3 linked regions of the Sus scrofa genome follow. The protein of the gene in region 2 purifies or fractionates together with the protein of the main gene of each other region. This does not show direct contact. Links are inferred from orthologs where the notes say so. Each region holds a gene or a part of one and is shown on either strand. Other genes may lie near its edges. The genes, in order: GLMN, CUL9 and APEX2.

Region 1 (3,654 bases), on a different chromosome or scaffold from region 2:
AATAAAATAAATTGGGGAGTTCCCACCATGACATAGCGGAAACGAATCCGACTAGGAACCACGAGGATGTGGGTTCAATCCCTGGCCTCCTTCAGTGGGTTAAGGATCCAGCGTTGCCATGAGTGTGGGTAAGTCTCGGATGTGGCTCGAATCCTGAGTTGCTGTGGCTGTGGTGTAGGCCAGCAGCTACAGCTCCAAATTGATCCCTAGTCTGGGAACTTCCATATGCTGAGGGTGCGGCCCTAAAAAGACAAAAAAAAAAAAAAAAAAAAAGTAATAAAATAAACTGATAATTGACATCTCAGTTATGCTCTTACCTTTAACGACATGTCAATTTGATTTTTGATATTTTGAATAATAAAGGCTTCCACACCTGAGTGATTACTTGTATTCAATAAGCACCTTTAAAGCAAAATTACAATACATTTGAAATTATCCTGGATGCATTATATTTAAATGATGATGAAAGTTTTACAAATTCAGATGGGCCATGTGTTATTTCAAGGAATACAAAAACCAGTGAAGACCAGTAGCAATTACAAAGTCACCTATTAAGGTTATTGCCCTTACTAACTGGCAAATTCTATTTGAACTGGGTCTTTCCAACAAGAAATTCCTATTAAACCAAATCTGAATCTCTTTATGCATATAGTTGCAATGAGTTGACATGACAAGAATGGTCACTAGTATAACAGCATAAAATTCCCCAAATTAGTCCCTGTTAGACTAGTTTGGTTAGACTAACTTAATTGCAAAGAAAGGTAACTCAATCTGTTAGTTCAAGAGGAGGGAGTTTTTGGTAGGAATGAAAGTAGGACAGACAGGAAAGCTGGCATAAGACCTAAGCATCAGTGGGGCCTTCATAAACCTACTCTGATCCCATCAATTCAAAGTGAAGAAAAGATGGATCAAGCACGCTAGGATCAGCCAATCCCAAAGAACACAGCCCTTGAACTCTGCCCCAGTGGGTCTTAACCCATTTTTAATTACCTACGTAGACACAAACTGAGGTCGGCAGGCCAAACCCGGCCTGCTGCCTGTTTTTTGACTGGAACACACCCCCGACTACAAACACAAAATTGAGCAGTTGCAGCGGAGACTGTGGGCCCCTCCAGACGCTGTTTACTCATGGTCCCCACAGAGACTCTGCCGATCTTTAACTCAAGAGGGTTGCCGCAGGCTTCCTCCTCAAACAGCGCTACCGACAAGCTCTACTGGTAAACTGAGCAGCCTGTCGAAACTTCTAACTCCGGAGCCATTCATTTCAACTGTGAATAATGGAGATTACTGACACCTGTAAATTCTACCAGGAGCCTCATCAATATTGGTTTAATTTTTTAAGACTTTTAGAGAGTTTCAATTAATTGAATTGAAACATATACTCTTATTCATGTAATTTATATATGCATCCATAATTTTTGATTAACCTTTCTCTACCCATCACAGATAAGAGAACTGATTATAATATATGGCTTCTGAGTAAAACATATCAAAATAAAATAACCTAGAATAATTAATGGCATTAATTTGGTTTTTAATCAACCAATTAATCAATACATACCTAAATAACGTATATTTGCCTTGTGAATCCAGCTTGTTAATATACAGCTGAAGCAAAGCTAAACTCTTTTTCCTCTACAATGGAATAAATAATATTGTTACATAAACTAAAGATGAAATTATTTCTTGAAGTTTCTCAGTGTAACCCATTATTATTTAGTCCGCAAACGTCTACATACCAATGTCTCAATGGGGCAGAGTGTCATTACTTTGACTAAGCCCTGGAAATAAAAACAAAATTTTAATTCAAATGTTAGGTTATATCGACTGCCAGGAAACAACTATATTATCCATTGCCAATGAACACTAAAAATTTAGAGAAAAGAGAGTAACAGACCTAAAAACAGAAGTAAATTTATTCCATTGTTATGTCTATAGGAAGCTAAGTACAATCCATTTTGTAAGTGATATTGAGAGGAATGCTACAAAGTGTATTGTCAGAAGTAAACAGTAATTTTCACTTATGTCTAGAATGGCAAAAAAGTGAAATCAAACATGCAGAAATATAATCCATTAATTTAAAATAATCAGACTTAATATATAAGAAAAGCGGAGTTCCCGTCGTGGCGCAGTGGTTAACGAATCCGACTAGGAACCATGAGGTTGCGGGTTCGATCCCTGCCCTTGCTCAGTGGGTTAAGGATCCGGCGTTGCCGTGAGCTGTGGTGTAGGTTGCAGATGCGGCTCGGATCCTGCATTGCTATGGCTCTGGTATAGGCTGGCGGCCGTAGCTCCGATTGGACCTCTAGCCTGGGAACCTCCAAATGTCACGGGAGCGGCCCGAGAAATGGCAAAAAGACCAAAAAAAAAAAAAAATTTATATATATATATATATATAAGAAAAGCTATATTTTTCTGTCTAAATAGTGGAGAAACCATTTTCTACATTGACATCTAAGGACCTACATCTATGATAACAAACAGTATCACTAATAAACAAGCAAAATAAATCACAGGAGGGAAAAACAAAACATCTTTGTAGTAATGAGCTATACACGCCTTGATGGAGTCCTGGGGATTTGAGTTATGGTAAAGGAGCTTCATTTTCCAAGGTTCCTACAGAACCAAAGTGTTTTAATTAAAGAAGAAAGTTGTATTTTTCCCCAGATGCTGTGCTGTCGACTCTCGCAGACAGCAGTCACATACAGCTATTTAAGTTTACATTAAGATAAATCAAATGTAGAATCCAGTTCCTTAGCCACATTACAAGTGTTCAGTGTGGCTCATGGCTTTCAAACTGTAAGGCCCAGATAAGTGAGGTTTTACCATCACAGAAAGTTCTACTGGACAGCTTGGCACCAGAGTTTTCAAAGGACATGGAGCAGAAAGCGGGAGAGCAGTCTGAAAAGCCCTAGGTTCAGAATAGGAAGAGGGCTTCTTTCAAGGTCAGGATACATGTTTCACTTGCCTGAGGTACAGTAAGGAAACTCTTGATTTCTAAGCACTGGTGGAGCAGACTGCTGTCCTCTGTTCTCAATAAACTGTTCTCCAACAGATCCTGCAGATCCAAATAGATGCAGAGATACATATATGGTGAAGTCGATAGCTGTATTTGTTAACATGACTATTTAAATTACAATAGGTGTAAGCAAATCTTACCAGTCCTTTGGACAAAACAGACTCTTCTGTTCTGGAAGAAAATATTGAAATTTATCAACATGGTTTGCTACACTGCTTCAGAATTATTGTTTTAGGAAAAATAAAGCAAAAATTATAATTTAAATACTTTAAAAATGCAGAGCACTAAGGAGAAATTCTGTTGAAAAACTGAATCAAAATTCTTAATCCACCTTTTTCTTTTCTTTGGCTACTGACACTGAAATCTAGGCCAAATTAGCCCACTCAGGGCTTACTTCCTGATATCAGATCAGTAGATCTTCAATAGCAAGTGCTAAGAAATCAATTTTACCTCATACGAAACTACTATTCTAGTTGATTAATCAGTAAAATCTTTCCAGCTTTTATATTTATGTAATTGATGCTTTCCATTTGTGATAATTTTTTTAAAAGGTTTACAATCATTGGTAACTAAATATTTAAGATCTGTGGCAAAAAAAAAAAATTATCTCAGGCTGCAGGTTCTTATTCTAACAC
Region 2 (3,654 bases):
GGTGATGCTGGCTGTGCTTTACCCATGCCTGGTGAGGGAGTACTGTGTACCAGTACCACTCAGATCAAAGCATTACAAAATACTCTGTCGCATCGAGAAAATCAGACACCCAGGAGTTCCTGCTGTGGCTCAGCAGTAACGAATCTGACTAGCATCCGTGAGGATACGGATTCAATCCCTGGCCTCACCCAGTGGGTTAAGGATCCAGCGCTGCCGTGAGCTGTGGTGTAGGTCACAGTCACAGCTTGGATCCCACTTTGCTGTGACTGTGGTATAGGCTGGCAGCTGCAGCTCCGATTCAACCCCTAGCCTGGGCACTTCCATATGCCGAGGGTGCAACACTTAAAAAAAAAAGCAAAACCAGACACCCTCGTTGTAACCAAAAAGCTATGCGAAATTCAACATACCTGAAAATTCAACCTGAACATCCCCCCACACCTCTTTCTTCTCTAGCGTTCTCCCACTTTGCAAATGACCACCTCCTCCACCCTGCTGCTGACTTTTTTTTTTTTTTTTTTGTCTTCTAGGGCCACACGCACAGCATGTGCACATCCGATGCTAGTTGGATTTGTTTCCACTGAGCCACGACAGGAACTCTGGCTGCTCACTTCTAAACCTGGGAGTCATTCCTAAAAACACCCTTCTCCCTTCCTCCAGACAGGTGTTCAATCTCCAGGACCATCCAGCTGGAACTCTCCTATCCGCCTGCACTTTCCATCCCAAAGCCTCCTCGCCTGAATCACCAGAGAACCTCTTCAGACCGGCAGGGCCCCCACCTGCCCCCAACCCGCACCCCACATGCTATCACCAGGCCCAGTGCACTCACCGCCAGCCCTGCTTGCTGCACCAAGACGGAGGTCTTGTATTCTTGCATGCAAACGAGCACAGCATAGATGCCACCCTCCCTGGCAAAGAGTGGGCGCCACTCGTGTTTGGTCATGAGCAGGTAAAGAAGGCGCAGGGCCAGCACCACCACCATCTTCTCTCCCACCTCGTTGGTTAGCAGCTCCACCAGCGTCTTCACTAGCTTCTCTCTGAGAGAGAGGAGACATCAGGGCCCCCCATCCGCAGAGCCATGCCTGACTCCCTGCTCACCCCTGTTCCCCAAGATCCAGGCCACCCCCACAGCTCTCCAACCTGCTCTCCTCGCCTCAGTCTCCCTCCCAACGCCCGCTCCCCTGAAGTCTGTTTCAGGCTCTTCCCTCATAAAGGAGGCAGGAGAGCAGGACAGTTAGGAACTCTGGTGCAACTTTTCAAAGAAATCTATAAATTCAGCATAATTCTAATCAAAATGCCTAAAAGGTTTTTAAAAAGAAAACATGGAATTCCCCAGTCGCTCAGTGGGCTTAGGATCCCACACTGTCACTGCGGTGGCTTGGGTCACTCATGTGGCGTGGGTTCGAACCCTGGCCCAGGAACTTCCTGCATGCCATGGGCGGAGCCAGAAGAAAAAAAAAACAACAGTCAGTTTGAGGCACAGGGAGTTTCTGTGGTGGCTCAGCGGTTAACGAATCTGACTAGCATCCATGAGGATGCAGGTTCAATCCCTGGCCTCGCTCAGTAGGTTAAGAATCTGGCACTGCTGTGAGCTGTGGTATAAGTCGCAGATGCTGCTCGGATCCTGCGTTGCTGTGGCTGTGGTATAGACTGGCAGCAACAGCTCTAATTCAACCCCTAGCCTGGGAACCTCCATGCGCCGCAAGTGCAGCCCTAAAAAGCAAAAAAAAAAAAAAGATTGAGGCATAGGAAGAGAAAATATGGAAGAAGAGTCAAGAAATGTTTGCAGGAGTTCCTGCTGTGGCACAATAGAAACGAATCTGACTAGTAACCATGAGGTTGCGGGTTTGATCCCCGGCCTCGCTCGGTGGGTTAAGGAACTGGTGTCGCCGTGAGCTGTGATGTAGGTCGCAGACTCAGCTCAGAGCTGATGTTGCTATGGCTGTGGTGTAGGCTGGGAGCTAAAGCTCCAATTTGACCCCAGCCCGGGAACCTCCATATGCCGTGGGTACAGCCCTAAAAAAACAAACAAAAAAATATATATATAAACTTATACTAATTAAAACTCTGGAAATAATACAGGGTAGCCCAACAGATCAACAGATGAGAAGGAAAAAAAGGGCCGCATCTCAGCCAGTGAGGACAGTTAGGACCATGCAAAACATGAGGCACAAACACTTGGCTATCCATCTGAAAAAAACGAAAGCCTGGAGCTCCGCTTCATTCTGTTTGCAAAACCAAAATGCAAACAAGTCTTAAAATAAATGCGAAAAACAAAATCATAGATATTTTTAGAAAATACAAGGAAATATTTTTAGAATCCTACAGTGGAATAGACCCTTTCAAAAGCTGGAAGCCATTAAAAAAAAAAAAAAAGATGAAAAATAAAGCAACACAAAAATCTACAACTTCAGCGTAATGAAAGACACTATCACAGAGTTAAGACAACAGCCACATGAGCTGGAAAGAGGATCTGGCAGAGGCTGATCTGAAGGGATGCAGGAAGCGCCCCCAGAGTCCCTAGGTGGCAGTGAGCATTACAGAGGAAAAATGTGTCAGAATTGACATCTTTCTCCACAGTGACAGAGATGCATATTGAGGAGGTGGCCTGGGAACAAGGGAAGAAAGGAGGCAAATTCTGGGAAAGAAGGCAAATAACGGTACTGAGAAAGTTCTGTTTTTTCTTATGAGCTTTAAGATTGCAGTCATGTGAACCAAATAGGTTTAAACTTATAGCCTCTTCTGTAGCCACGATTTATTTAAAACAAGTTCATACGCTACATATGAATAAATGTCCAGGTATAAATAAGGATGTTTACCAAAATGTTAACAGTGACTACAACTACATAAAAGGTTTTCAGATGACTGTCATCGTCATGATTTTCTAATTTTTTAAGGTGAGCAGGCATTATTTTACACCTGGAAAATTAAAACCATTTGGCGGGGGGGGGGACAAAATATGTGAAACATAAGTAACAAATTAATATCCAGAATGTCTGTAAATCAATAAGAAAAAGACAAAAGACCCAATTAAAAACCAGGCAAAGGATAAGAATATTTACAGAGGAAGAAACACAACAAAGGCATGAAAACATGCCTAGCTTTTTTTTTTTTTTTTTTTTTTTTTTTGTCTTTTTGGTTTTTTTTAGGGCCGTGCTCTCAGCGTATGGAGGTTCCCAGGCTAGGGGCCAAATCAGAGCTGTAGCCACCAGCCTACAGCCAGAGCAATGCAGGTTCTGAGCCGTGTCTGCGACCTACACCACAGCTCAAGGCAATGCCAGATCCTTAACCTGCTGATCAAGGCCAGGGATCGAACCCTCGTCCTCATGGATGCTAGTCGGGTTCGTTTACCACTGAGCCTCAATGGGAACCCCCAAACATGCCTAACTTCTCTAGAACTGAGAAATTAAAACAAGGAGATCACAATCATTTGAAATGTTGCCAATCTGATAGTTAAAAAATGACAACATCTAGTGCTGTATTCTGCTTTGGGTAGAATCAAGCCCAAGACAGCAGCAAGAATGAGGCAGTGCTATGCATACTAACACACACAGCCTTCCCAGACTCCATACATGCAGAGGGAATCTGCAGACACAGGCAGAGTGTGATCACATATACTAAAACACAAACTCAGAAAACACACTTATACACTTGAAG
Region 3 (2,853 bases), on a different chromosome or scaffold from region 2:
CTACCCCCTCTTTCCCCACTCATTTGGTCAGTGAGTCCTGTTGATTCTAGCTGTAAATTATCTCTTAATTTCATTTTGTTTCCTCTGGCAGCACCCTAGTCTGAGTGACCAAGTGACCATCATCTCTTACTTAAGTGCGTGGACTATGGTAGTCATCTTCTGCTAGTATTCTGGCCGACAGTCTGGTTGCCCTTCAAGTCTTTTGGGTAGGCTGCCCCCTCCCTCCATAGGCCCATCATAGAAGTTATTCTCTCATTTTATAACACCCTCTGCCTGGGTAATTCCTGCTCCACCTTCACTTCTCAGCTCAAGATCATTTCCTTAAAGGAAGCCTCGTTGGTCCCCAGTGCAAGCTCAGAGTCCCACTTTGTTCCTAGTATTGTGCCTGGTGCGTAATCAGTGTCTCTTTGAATGTGTTGCATTGAATGAGTGGGTGAGTGAATTGGATGTGTGAATTGGATGGATGATGCCTTAGGGATCAGAGCCAAAGGAAGTATTCAGACATGAATCCTTGGAGCCCCTCAGCTCAGGATGGGGAAGGTTGGTCAGTGAGGTCTTTGACACATACAAGATAAACCAAAGTAGTACCAGAGTGTTTAAATAAAAAGGCAACAGTCTTCTGAACTCCTAACTGCAGCCATATTTCCTAGCAGTAACCAATTTTAACTTACTTTCCATTCTCTTGGTGAGCAGTTCTGAGAATTGCCTTGATTAAGCAAATAATGACCTTTCAAATTTGGGATTTATGGCCCAGTGCAAGGTAGATAGAGCCTGATGCAGAGGGAAAAACAACAATGGGCTTTTAAATCAGTAAGGATGGAAAGTGAATCCTAGCTCAGCCAGTTCCAGACTGTGTGACTTTGAGCAGTCTTCTTTGGAGTAACCACATTTTCTTGTCTGTAAAATGAAGCAGTTAGTTTAAGTCCCCTCCAGTTCTAGGCATTTAGTTCTTCTTTCTTTGTTCCCCTCCCCCTTCCCAGGAATGCTTTGAAGAGGACCCAGGGCGCAAGTGGATGGATGGCTTGCTCAGTAACCTGAGGTGCCAGGCTGGTTCCCATATGGGACCTTTCATTGATAGCTACCGCTACTTCCAGCCAAAGCAGAAAGGGGCCTTCACCTGCTGGTCGACAGTCACTGGTGCCCGCCATCTGAACTATGGCTCCCGGATTGACTATGTGCTGGGGGACAGGGCCCTGGTTATGGATACCTTTCAGTCCTCCTTTGTGCTGCCTGAGGTGATGGGCTCTGACCATTGCCCTGTGGGTGCAGTCTTGAACGTGTCCCCTGTGCCAGCAAAACAGTGTCCACCTTTATGTACCCGCTTCCTCCCCGAGTTTGCAGGCACCCAGCTCAAGATTCTTCGCTTCCTAGTTCGTCTTGAACAAGATCCTGTGTTCAAGCAGTCTGCACTGCAGCTCAGGAATCAAACACAGGTACAGTTGCGCCAAAATAAAGCCCGTGTGCGATCAACCAGGCCTCGGCCAAGTCAGACTGGCTCCAGTAGAGGCCAAAAAAAACTGATGAGCTATTTCCAGCCATCCTCCAGCCGTCCTCAAACCACTTCTAACTTGGATCTTCCTAGCCTTGGCACCCTCGTGACCCCAGAGACCTCAGAAGAGGAAGCGATGGCCAGTGTGGTGGAGGGGCACACCAAGGTTTCAGAGGCCAAGGATAAAAAGGAAGTACGGAGCTTGTTCTGGAAGTCTCTGCTGAGAGGGCCCTTACCCACACCCCTCTGTGGGGGCCACAGGGAGCCGTGTGTAATGCGAACTGTGAAGAAGCCAGGACCCAACCTGGGCCGCCACTTCTACATGTGTGCTAGGCCCCAGGGTCCTCCCACTGACCCTTCCTCCCGCTGCAACTTCTTCCTCTGGAGCAGGCCCAGTTGAACCAAGCCAGGATATCTGGCATGGTCAACCTTGCACATGATCTGAGGCCAGCTTCATCCTAAGCTGCCTCATCATCCCCCAAGGCCTCCTTCCCTTCCTCCTCCTCCTCCTCTTCCTTTTCTTCTTCCACCTTTCTCAAGGACCCATCCCTTCCCTCTTTTTCTTCCTCCAAGGCCTCTCTTCCTCTCTGTTCTTCCTGCCTAGCTCCTCCTCACTAGTGAGCTTCTTGGGCCTTAATGCTATAACCCATATCCCCACCCTACTTCCCATCTTCCTGTCAGAAGTACATAGGAACCAGTTGCCTGGGGAAGTTGTGATTTTTAAACCACTTTCTTACTTGTTGGGAAATGTAGCTGTGCCTAAATAAAGTCCACGTCTTTGTTGCTACTCACCATATCATTTTGAATGTGCTTCATGAAGTTGACTCAGAGATGTTATTTCAGTACTGCTTGTAGCCTGATAATAGAACTCCCAGAGGAGAGTGGAGGAAGGAGGAGTGATGCTCATTGTAAAGGTACTCTGTTAAGTTGTCAGGTTTCCCTGCACTGCTAAGGGTGAATCAGCAAGGGAGGTGGGTGGGTGTGGTAGAAAGCTGAGGCAGCCAATGAAACTTTTAAACAGTGCTTTCTAACTGGTATGTCACACAGATGCCACAGATGGGTTACAGGGTGGAAAGAAATGAGTCCCTCAACCCTAGAGTTGCCGAGCAGTACCAGGAATTACACAAGTGTCAGGAAAAATTGCCTCCAAGGCAACTAATACTATTATTTCACCCAAATGTGCCATGCAAATGTTTTCTGTATGTTATGACCTAGAAAGTTTGGGAGCATTGCCTTGAACAAGTTCTTGCTATAGCCAAGCCTCTTTCTCACCTTGGGAAACAGAACTGATAAATCCTTTTCTATAAGGTGCTGTAGGAAGGAAAGAGGATCATGGATTGAGGAGGACCTCCATTCTCTGCGGG

The links.
Region 1: the proteins of CUL9 (region 2) and GLMN purify together in Homo sapiens (affinity purification with mass spectrometry; 3 studies listed by BioGRID and IntAct, counting the BioPlex papers as one, with this or other methods). This does not show direct contact. The link is inferred for Sus scrofa from reciprocal best matches to the Homo sapiens genes CUL9 and GLMN.
Region 3: the proteins of CUL9 (region 2) and APEX2 purify together in Homo sapiens (affinity purification with mass spectrometry; 3 studies listed by BioGRID and IntAct, counting the BioPlex papers as one, with this or other methods). This does not show direct contact. The link is inferred for Sus scrofa from reciprocal best matches to the Homo sapiens genes CUL9 and APEX2.

The regions. Positions count from the first base shown.
Region 1 is NC_010446.5:124,790,881-124,794,534, reverse strand, and holds part of GLMN (glomulin), read right to left. Parts: intron 3,191-3,654; coding exon 3,160-3,190; intron 3,059-3,159; coding exon 2,969-3,058; intron 1,782-2,968; coding exon 1,740-1,781; intron 1,636-1,739; coding exon 1,562-1,635; intron 403-1,561; coding exon 318-402; intron 1-317.
Region 2 is NC_010449.5:38,232,251-38,235,904, reverse strand, and holds part of CUL9 (cullin-9), read right to left. Parts: intron 1,035-3,654; coding exon 827-1,034; intron 1-826. UniProt on the Homo sapiens protein: Core component of a Cul9-RING ubiquitin-protein ligase complex composed of CUL9 and RBX1. The CUL9-RBX1 complex mediates ubiquitination and subsequent degradation of BIRC5 and is required to maintain microtubule dynamics and genome integrity.
Region 3 is NC_010461.5:47,868,295-47,871,147, forward strand, and holds the end of APEX2 (DNA-(apurinic or apyrimidinic site) lyase 2), read left to right. Parts: intron 1-980; coding exon 981-1,889; 3' UTR 1,890-2,285; downstream 2,286-2,853. UniProt on the Homo sapiens protein: Functions as a weak apurinic/apyrimidinic (AP) endodeoxyribonuclease in the DNA base excision repair (BER) pathway of DNA lesions induced by oxidative and alkylating agents.